2 linked regions of the Caenorhabditis elegans genome follow. The protein of the gene in region 2 interacts with the protein of the main gene of each other region in a pairwise test. Each region holds a gene or a part of one and is shown on either strand. Other genes may lie near its edges.

Region 1 (5,223 bases), on a different chromosome or scaffold from region 2:
AAAACTTTGAAATTACAGTACACTTCAAAGGCGCACACGCATTTTTATTTGCCGTGCTGAAACCAGATACGGTATTTTTGGCCCAAAAATCGCAAAATCTCACGTCTGGGTAATAATAATTATTGGCAAAAACTCACCAATAATTCGTAGCACAACAAGAAATCTGAACGGTAACGCATTATTCCGTAAGACGTCTGAATGCCGTTCCACGACGATTTGCAGATCGCCAAGCACAGCTTTCACTCCCATTTTGTCTGCAAATCCACTCGGCAATGTCTTTCAAAGGAATGGTGTAAACGCTGTGAGCTGGATTCGTCAAGTGCGCCCCACTGAGAACCTTTCTCTTTCACTCTCTCACTTACCAACACTATGTTATCGAAAAGCAGAACAAAATGTGGCTGGTGAAAACAGGAAATAAGCGGATATTTTGAAGGTGACGATAAAATCTCTCTCCAGAAGAAGAAACTTCACGTTTTTCAAATCGAAGAAATTTTAAACCAACAAAAAAATTTAATTAGACACGTGTTATTCATCTTGGGGTTTGGTTGTTTTTGAAAAAAAAATGCAGTTAATAAATATGAAAACATAGGAAATGAGACAAAATATAGAGATAGAGATACATGGTACAGTACTAAAACATGGTAAAACTGGGAATTTGTTCTTGAGAAGTTCAGAAGAAAGAAGAAATCGATAGAAGAAGATCATGTTCTCGTCATATGATATCGAATTATAAGTGGTTCAGATTTGGGTTGACCACGGCGCTTCATCATCCAAACAAAGCGAACCGAAAAGTCTTTTCCCATGAGTTGTCCGTCACAAAACATGTCTAAATCAGAATACCGGCTCTGATCGTCCCATATTTGAAGAGATAGGAATCTGAAAAAGAAGGAAAATTATAAAAAAATTAATTTCCTTAAAATTTTTAACCTGAAATAAATATTTTTTTTACATCTAGAAAAAATTTGTTTTTGAAATTTCGGAGAAATACCAAAACTTTGAGTTGTAATTGAAAAAAAGTAAAAGTGCGGCACGGAAAAATAGGCGTGGTTTCGGAGAATAATGCGCGGAAATTCAACTGAGGAGATCAGTCAAAATCGTCATATTGTTTCAAATTTAATTAATTTTTTCTTTTATGTTATCACGATAAAATTTTAAAAACCAAAATTTGAATACAACTTGAAAAACCTTACTTTTTCAAAGTATTCATAGTAGTCATCTCACTGCACCGAACATACGGTCGAGTGATAAGAGGTAGATTAGCAGTCCCGGGGAGTAGATTAACAGTCACTTGACAATCATCTCTATGATGTGAGAATCTAGGCCTTTCCAATGGATAACATCTATTTGTCCCAGTTATTCGTTCTCTTTCCAGTCGTTCTTTTCTCTCGCGATCTTCGGCTGCCGTATCAATTCCTAGAGCTTCTCGGCAGTCTCTTAGAAACGTTTTCCGTACGTCCAACTCGTTGTTCTCCATTTTTGGCACAAATTGATTGACAAGTTCATTGACTGCTCGATCATAAGTCACGTAATGAGTTGGATGAGATCCATGAATAAATGTTCCACATGTTGGACACGTGTTGTTATCCGATTCAAAATATGTTAGAAGACAACTCTTGCAGAATGTGTGCATACAATCAATTATTGTTGTTGCATCTACGATGTAGCCCTGAAAATATATAATTAAATTCTTGAAATATGGGTTTTTTGATTTTATGCATCTAGATTTAAAGTCTAGATCGTAACGAAAACTTCTAGAAATGAGAATGATTTTGTAGCGGAACCTCGTTATCTTTTTTCCTTTTCATGGGCTTCCAGGGAAGCAAATTATACAAATTTTGTCTCGCCAAGCACTCTGTATTTATAAGACTGTAGGAATAAAATTCACTTTTATTAGTTTTTTTATATAATTTTTTCCTATGGTGATTTCCATTTAGTTTAATGCCTTTGCTTGTGATTGAAGTATTTTTTTGTGAAAAACCAGAAAAATCAACAGAGATTTGTGCGATAATTGTTTAGTTTTCTACAAAAAATGGAATAGAGGAGATCAAACAACTCAAGGAAAGTTATAAAATTTTTTGAATAAATTTTTAACTTGTGTTGGTAATTTCCAAATTCAGATTATCCAAAAAAGTGATCAAATTTCCAAAATTTCTATTTTTTTCAAAAATTGCACTAAAAATTACCGAAAAACACTTCGAGAGGTTATTATTCTCTTTTATTCTGGTTCACAAACACGATGTAATTTTTTTTAATCAAGAAATCCTAATTCTTTTCAATTTTTTTTTATTTCAATCTTTTTTTTTTAAATACAGAAATTTCTGATAATTCAATTCAGAAAACTTCAAATTCAAAGTAAAAATTTAACCGATCTTTAAAGTTTAATTTATGATCTGGTTTTTTTTTTAAATATTTGGACTTATAAATTAAAACTAAAAACTCACATCACAAATTCCACACGTAATGAATGGATTCAAAACTTCCATATTATATTTCACTGTTGCTCTTCGAAAATTGTTCATCACTTTTGGTACACCATCTTCGGCCAAAAAATTCGCTTTTGGAAAATAAGCCATCATTTCGTCCCTCCTTCGTTGATTAATCGATGATATCGGACCAAAATTCCATTTACTGGCTTCTGCTTTGATTTTTCGTTGCCCATATTTCTGCCGCATCGATTCTTCCTTTTCTTGCTCTTTTCTCCGTTCTCTTCGCTCTTTTTTCTTCCGAAGTTTTGCCAGTTTTTGTTCAATAGTTAGTTTCGGACGATTTTTAGCTTCTTCTATCCTCCTCGCTTTACGTTCAGCTCGTTCACGAAGTTTAATTTCTTCTGCAGTTTCTTCTTCAACTGGCTTCTTTTTTCGTTTAGGAGGTAAATTTCTTCCATTCGTTTTTACTGGTGTAGATTCTTTTTCGATTTTCACTTTTGATACTGAATTTACAACAGCCTTGCGTCCTTTTTTCGAAGAAATATCTGATTTTGTTGTAGACGGAGACACCGAACGCGATGGTGATGGACTTGGTGATGTTGGTGGAGTTTCCGGCGGGCTTTCTTTTTTCTTTTTCTTCTTAGTTTGTAATTTCGCTGTCTTTTTGAACGTAGATGGATCAGGTGAATGTTCTCTGGATGTTATACCATTCTCTACTTCTCCATCTATTTTTTCCTCATTTTCATCGTCATCCATGATTTCTTGTTTAACTTGAAAAGATCCTCGTTTTGTCTTATTAGCTGCTTTTCCGCGATTCGTCGATGAATTTCCCCGCTTCAATTTCTTGGTTTGGGATGTCGATGGGCCATCGTAATCATCTTCAGAATCTGCATCAGATTCCGGTTCAGGTGAACGCTTCTTTTTTGAAGAAGGTGCACCTGTTGTTGATCTTCTCGTTACCCGTGATCGAGAAGATGAAACCGGTTCTGCAAGAGCTGGTCTTTTTCGAGTCATCTGAATAATGTTAGCTTAATATAACTCTATAAAATAAATTTGTAATGTTAATCAGTAAAATTGTGGTTTCAAACCAAGAATATTAAAAAAACAACAAATTAAATAATTGGAAGGTTAAATTTTTATTCCAACAGTCTCGAATTCTTGACAAACAACAAAAATAACAGATTCCACCCGTTCTCCTATATTCGACAATGTTCACATTGGCGGCCTTAGCATATTATTGATCCTTCCTTGTTCTTTTTCATCTTTTTCTCTTTGTTCGTGAGCCAGGTGAGCAGTATTTGACAAGAATGCGAGAGCTCCTTTGTGGCATCTGTTGGCGTAGTGACCTTTCTCTCCGCACTAAAATTGAATTATTTTACTTTTTTTATGATTAAAATGAACCTACCTTGTAACAAGTAACATCTGATAGATTCTTTTTATCTGGTATAAGTGAGAGATCAACACGATGGTGATGATCTTGATTTTGTCTTGTTTGTCCTGGAAGATGTGGACATGTAGTTGCCTTGTGGCCTCTTTCATGACAATTGTGGCAAGTAATAGCTTGACTGTATGTTGGTTTGGCATGACTGACAGCTATATTCTCGAATGATGGCAGACCGAATGAAGGATGAGCATATTGACAATCTGGTCCTTGTAGACAAAATCCGGCGAGATAGTTGGGGCAGACTGCACGACGACGATGGCGATGTTTGCAGTATGGTCCATGCCTGCAGAATCCACGATCGTACCATGGACAGTCTTTCATTTTCGTTTCGGGATCAATATGTCGGAATGGGCATTCTCGATTGCTGCACGCGCTGTATTTAGAGAAGAAGAAGCATTCGGGCATTTTTGTGAGGTCATATTCGTGCAAGAATTCACATTGATCTCCTTTCTTACAAAGACCACGAAGCCAATGCTTACATACGACAGCTTTTTCTCCATCGATGTGACGAAGAGGGCATGTTGGACCGAATGGACACATTTTTAATTTGTTTTTCCTACAAACCGCTTTTCCACTTCGATCCAGATCGCGAAAGGGAGCCTGAAAATTGAATATGTGTTGTAATTTTATACTGGAAGAATAATTGTACCTCTTTCATTCCTCTTTGATTGAACAAAGCTTCTTCCACATCAGTCATAGGAGCGGTAATATTCGAAACAAGATCTGTCATGGTTTGAGGAGCGAATAATCTTTGCATCGGATTTAGCTGCATATCCGGAACATGCTGCGCCACCACAATCATCTGAGAATAAAATAATAATTGATTGACTAAAAAAGTAATGATTAATCAACTTGTTTCTCCGGAGAAACAAAAAAAAACTCCAGAAATAAAAATCAGCCAAGCATCAAAGTTGTCCGAGAGGACTACACGACTACGGTAAGCAACGGTGATTGCACAGATTTCAAATAATTGCGTACAAAGTTTCAATTGTTTTCCAATTATCGACTTTTGTTCGATAAATTCTATTTTTATTTCAAACTCTTTTAATTTAAATTAAAAATTGAATTTGTTTTATCCGATGAAACTGTTTTATTCCTTTCTCGTTTTGCAAAATCCTGAGCTAACGGAATTGAAAATTGACACGATTCTTACGTGCATTTTGATATAGGTTGATTAAAAAACGTTTTTTCTAACTAAAAATGTTTATTCTAGATTTAAAACTTTCAAAAGTAAACTCAAATTAGAAACATATGTTTTAAATAATATATTAGCGACCAAGCGTAAAATAATCTGTAAATTCAAAAAGACTAAGGCTGCGAATATGAAAATTTGCGTTTTATGCGGAAATGTTA
Region 2 (3,241 bases):
AATACAACTTTCTTTTAACTTTTCAAAAGCAATTTTCCGGCTTCTCACTTTTTAACCCATTATTTGCATAACACAGAATCTTTAACATTTTTCAGACATGGCTTCCGAGTGTAAATCTTGCGAAAATCTCGTGGATCATATTAAGGAAGAGATGTTTCACATTGAGGAGCTAAGAAGTGAAATTGAACAACTTGAACAATATATTCGGAATCTTCAAATCAACTTTGAGAAAATTCAAACTGAAAATGAAATTTTGAAGACACAGTTGGAAGAAAAAGAAACGGAAGCTGAGGAAAGTCAACGACTTCTTGATGTAATCCATAAAGATCGTGATGAATGTATTGAAGAAAAAATGAAAGTTTCAAGATTTTATCGAAATGAAATCAAGAAGGTTATAGAAGAAAATGAAGCTCTACGCAAAGAAAACAATAATTTAAAAGATACATATAACAATGAAAATATCGCAAAGATCGGGAAAAATTTGGATAAATTACAAGAAGTTAAGACAGACATTTGCAAAAATAAAATCAAATTGAAAGAGGTTGACAGTGTAAGTTGGTTTTTGTTGTAAATAGAAATTCTATCGATAGATATTCTGGAGTTTGCCATGAAACTTTTATAGTGCCTAATTTTGGAAATTTGTCGAACGGAAGAGATATCGTAAGCAACGGCGTCTTCCATCTTCGTTGCAAATTTTTTATTTTCAAATTCCTCTATTCAATTGTTTCATTTCAGATCACAACGAATGCATCCGTAACTATAAAAAATCAGAAGATTGAATTATGTGAAATGGAGAAGAATGAGGATGAACTGTTTGAAACCTTCGAGTATATCGAGATAGACCAGTAGCATGGAATTCAAAGTTATTCGTTTTGAATTGCTAAATTCAATTTTTTTATTCAATTGTTATCAGAAGCTGTATAAATTAAAGAATTTATGATAGTTTAAAATAAGAACTGATGGCACGAGGAGAATATCATTATGACATGTCTTAAATTCAACTATTTAAATTTATTCATATTTATATTATATGTAATTCACCTAACTCTTGAATTTGATACCACATAGTTAATCAAAAAGTATATACATCTACCTATTTCAATTGTATTCGATTGTGGACAATATCGTATGACTTCCATACTGTCGAAAATGCCTACTTGGTCTTACCCGTTGTTTCACAACAGGTCTCTTTCAAGATGATGTTCCATGTCGTACTGAAAACTGATTCAATTTTTATTTTCCAGCAAAATATAAAAGTTCATGAAGCCCCAAAAAAGTCACTGATTGTCATTTATGGACAAACAATACATAACTTATGCCTTTGATTAGTTAAATTTTTATTTTGCTCGAGATACTCCCCCTTCAGATGTTTTTCCATTTTATAAATTGTATTAATCCCAGTAATTTACTATCACTCAATACTCTTTTTTTTTACAAGATATTGGTTCTTCTATTGCCCTTCTATTGCCCAATTGGCTCAAATGGCTCCTCAATACAAGGTCAGCTCATCGATTTCAGACAAATAACACAGTACAATTAGCACCTGGAGGCAGACAATGGAAGATAATACTTCCCAAAAGAAAGCTGACTTTTGGGAAAGGGGAGTACGGTAAGACAATGTTGAAACGCCTAGAAACCCGCTGGAATTATAGATATTTATTATTGTCTGAGAAGGACAGCTGTTTTTTCTCCAAGGTAGGCCTAAGGCCCGATTCTCCAAGATAATTGCTCCTGTTTTGTTTGAATTTCGTCCTTCACCGTACATAGTTTTTTTTCAAAATTAAGTTTCGTTTCCAGATGAATCCCAAAATCTCTGTCTACGAAAATTCCTCCAACACTTTGGAGCTGACCCAACTAAAAGCAGAAAACGAATTTCTGAAGCATGAGCTCGTGGAGCAACGAAACATTTTCGAGTCAATGCTCGGAAAAGAAAAGTTTGACTTGACTTTGGAGATCATGCTTTTGAAGAATCAGGTCGAGGAATCGTTCAAGGAAAAGAAGATGATTTTGGCTTTTTTTGATGAAAAGGACAGCGAGAAGGAGCAAATGGTTTTGAAATTTACCAGAGAAATTGATGAGCTCAAGGAAATCATCGAAGACAGTGTTTCGGATAAATTGGACTACAATGAAGAGACAAAAGCATGTCATTCGGAAATTGAAAGACTTGAAGATGAATTGAAAAACCGCAAGAGGGATCTTAGACGAAGTGCACGAGAAATGAAAGCAATGGAATCTCAAAAAGATTATTTGATGACAGAGTGTGTACAGCAAAAGCAGGCGATGAAACGATTGGAATCTAAAAATCAAAAGCTTTTGGATCATATGACAGCAACTAGTGAAGGATATCAAAGATTGTCAAGAAACAATGAAAATCTTCTGAAGGTTAGTTCTTGCGATCTTGTCATTTTCAATATTAAGTCAACTTTCAGACGAATGCATTGTTGAATGAAATGATCGGCAGATTCATGGCTCGAGATCAACGACAAGTTCAGGAAGAGGAAACTAGTGTTCTGAAAAAGTGATTTCTGAAGAACGTTCACAACAGCTTGCTCATCGCCCTTCATCGACTGTCAGACCAACTTCCTTTTGTAGTTTTCTAGTTCTTCCATCTCCCTGTAACTCCATCGATCATTCATGTCATCTCATCATTGTAATAATTCAATTTTCTAGAAATCCCTTTCCAGATAAATAAATGAATTAAACCGTATTTTATTGTGTATCTGAAAATGTCGAAACAAGCAGAACGTCATGTGCATTTCGATATCTAACGACTTTGATCTGCCTATTGTTGCAGGTGTTTTTTAAGAGCACCTAGATAACCAATAGGCCCACTACTCGATCGACAGAGTCAATAAAACGTATTGCAGTGGGAACAATTCTAAGAGGTCATTCACATTGTCCCCCAATCGGTGCTAACTATATATTTCAACTGCTACGTATAGCAGTAAAGAACATCGCCTTAATTTTTATCTATCATACACTGGCAGCCTGCCAAAAATGTTTTTTGGAAAATGATTAACCAAAACTTTGACTGAATTTTTTTTCAAAAATCTAAAACAAGTGTAAAGAGGCTAAATTTCTACTGAAAAGCGTTAATTCTTCTCTTCTTTTCTCCTTTTGTCTCTCCTGGAGAGCGTAAATACATAAAAAATTAATTTGAATTAATTTTTTCATTAAGGAAACCAACATCCTATACGACTGTATTCTTATTCCTGAAAAATTCACTGTCTCATCAAAAAAA

What was found. Proteins that work in one complex are often made in the same cells at the same time.
Region 1: the proteins of C17E4.2 (region 2) and mig-32 interact in a two-hybrid assay, tested with the Caenorhabditis elegans proteins (one large-scale study listed by BioGRID).

The regions. Positions count from the first base shown.
Region 1 is NC_003282.8:12,088,774-12,093,996, forward strand, and holds mig-32 (Polycomb group RING finger protein 3 homolog mig-32), read right to left. Parts: upstream 3,441-5,223; coding exon 2,442-3,440; intron 1,667-2,441; coding exon 1,191-1,666; intron 877-1,190; coding exon 702-876; 3' UTR 513-701; downstream 1-512. Other genes in the region: F11A10.6 (Transmembrane protein 115), read right to left, coding at 138-249; cpsf-4 (Cleavage and polyadenylation specificity factor subunit 4), read right to left, coding at 3,639-3,785, 3,832-4,470, 4,520-4,642. UniProt on the Caenorhabditis elegans protein: Component of a Polycomb group (PcG) multiprotein PRC1-like complex, a complex class required to maintain the transcriptionally repressive state of many genes, throughout development. Required for ubiquitination of histone H2A.
Region 2 is NC_003279.8:9,410,517-9,413,757, forward strand, and holds C17E4.2 (Cilia- and flagella-associated protein 157), read left to right. Parts: upstream 1-1,789; 5' UTR 1,790-1,797; coding exon 1,798-2,382; intron 2,383-2,429; coding exon 2,430-2,522; 3' UTR 2,523-2,706; downstream 2,707-3,241. Other genes in the region: C17E4.19 (uncharacterized protein), read left to right, coding at 98-550, 736-849.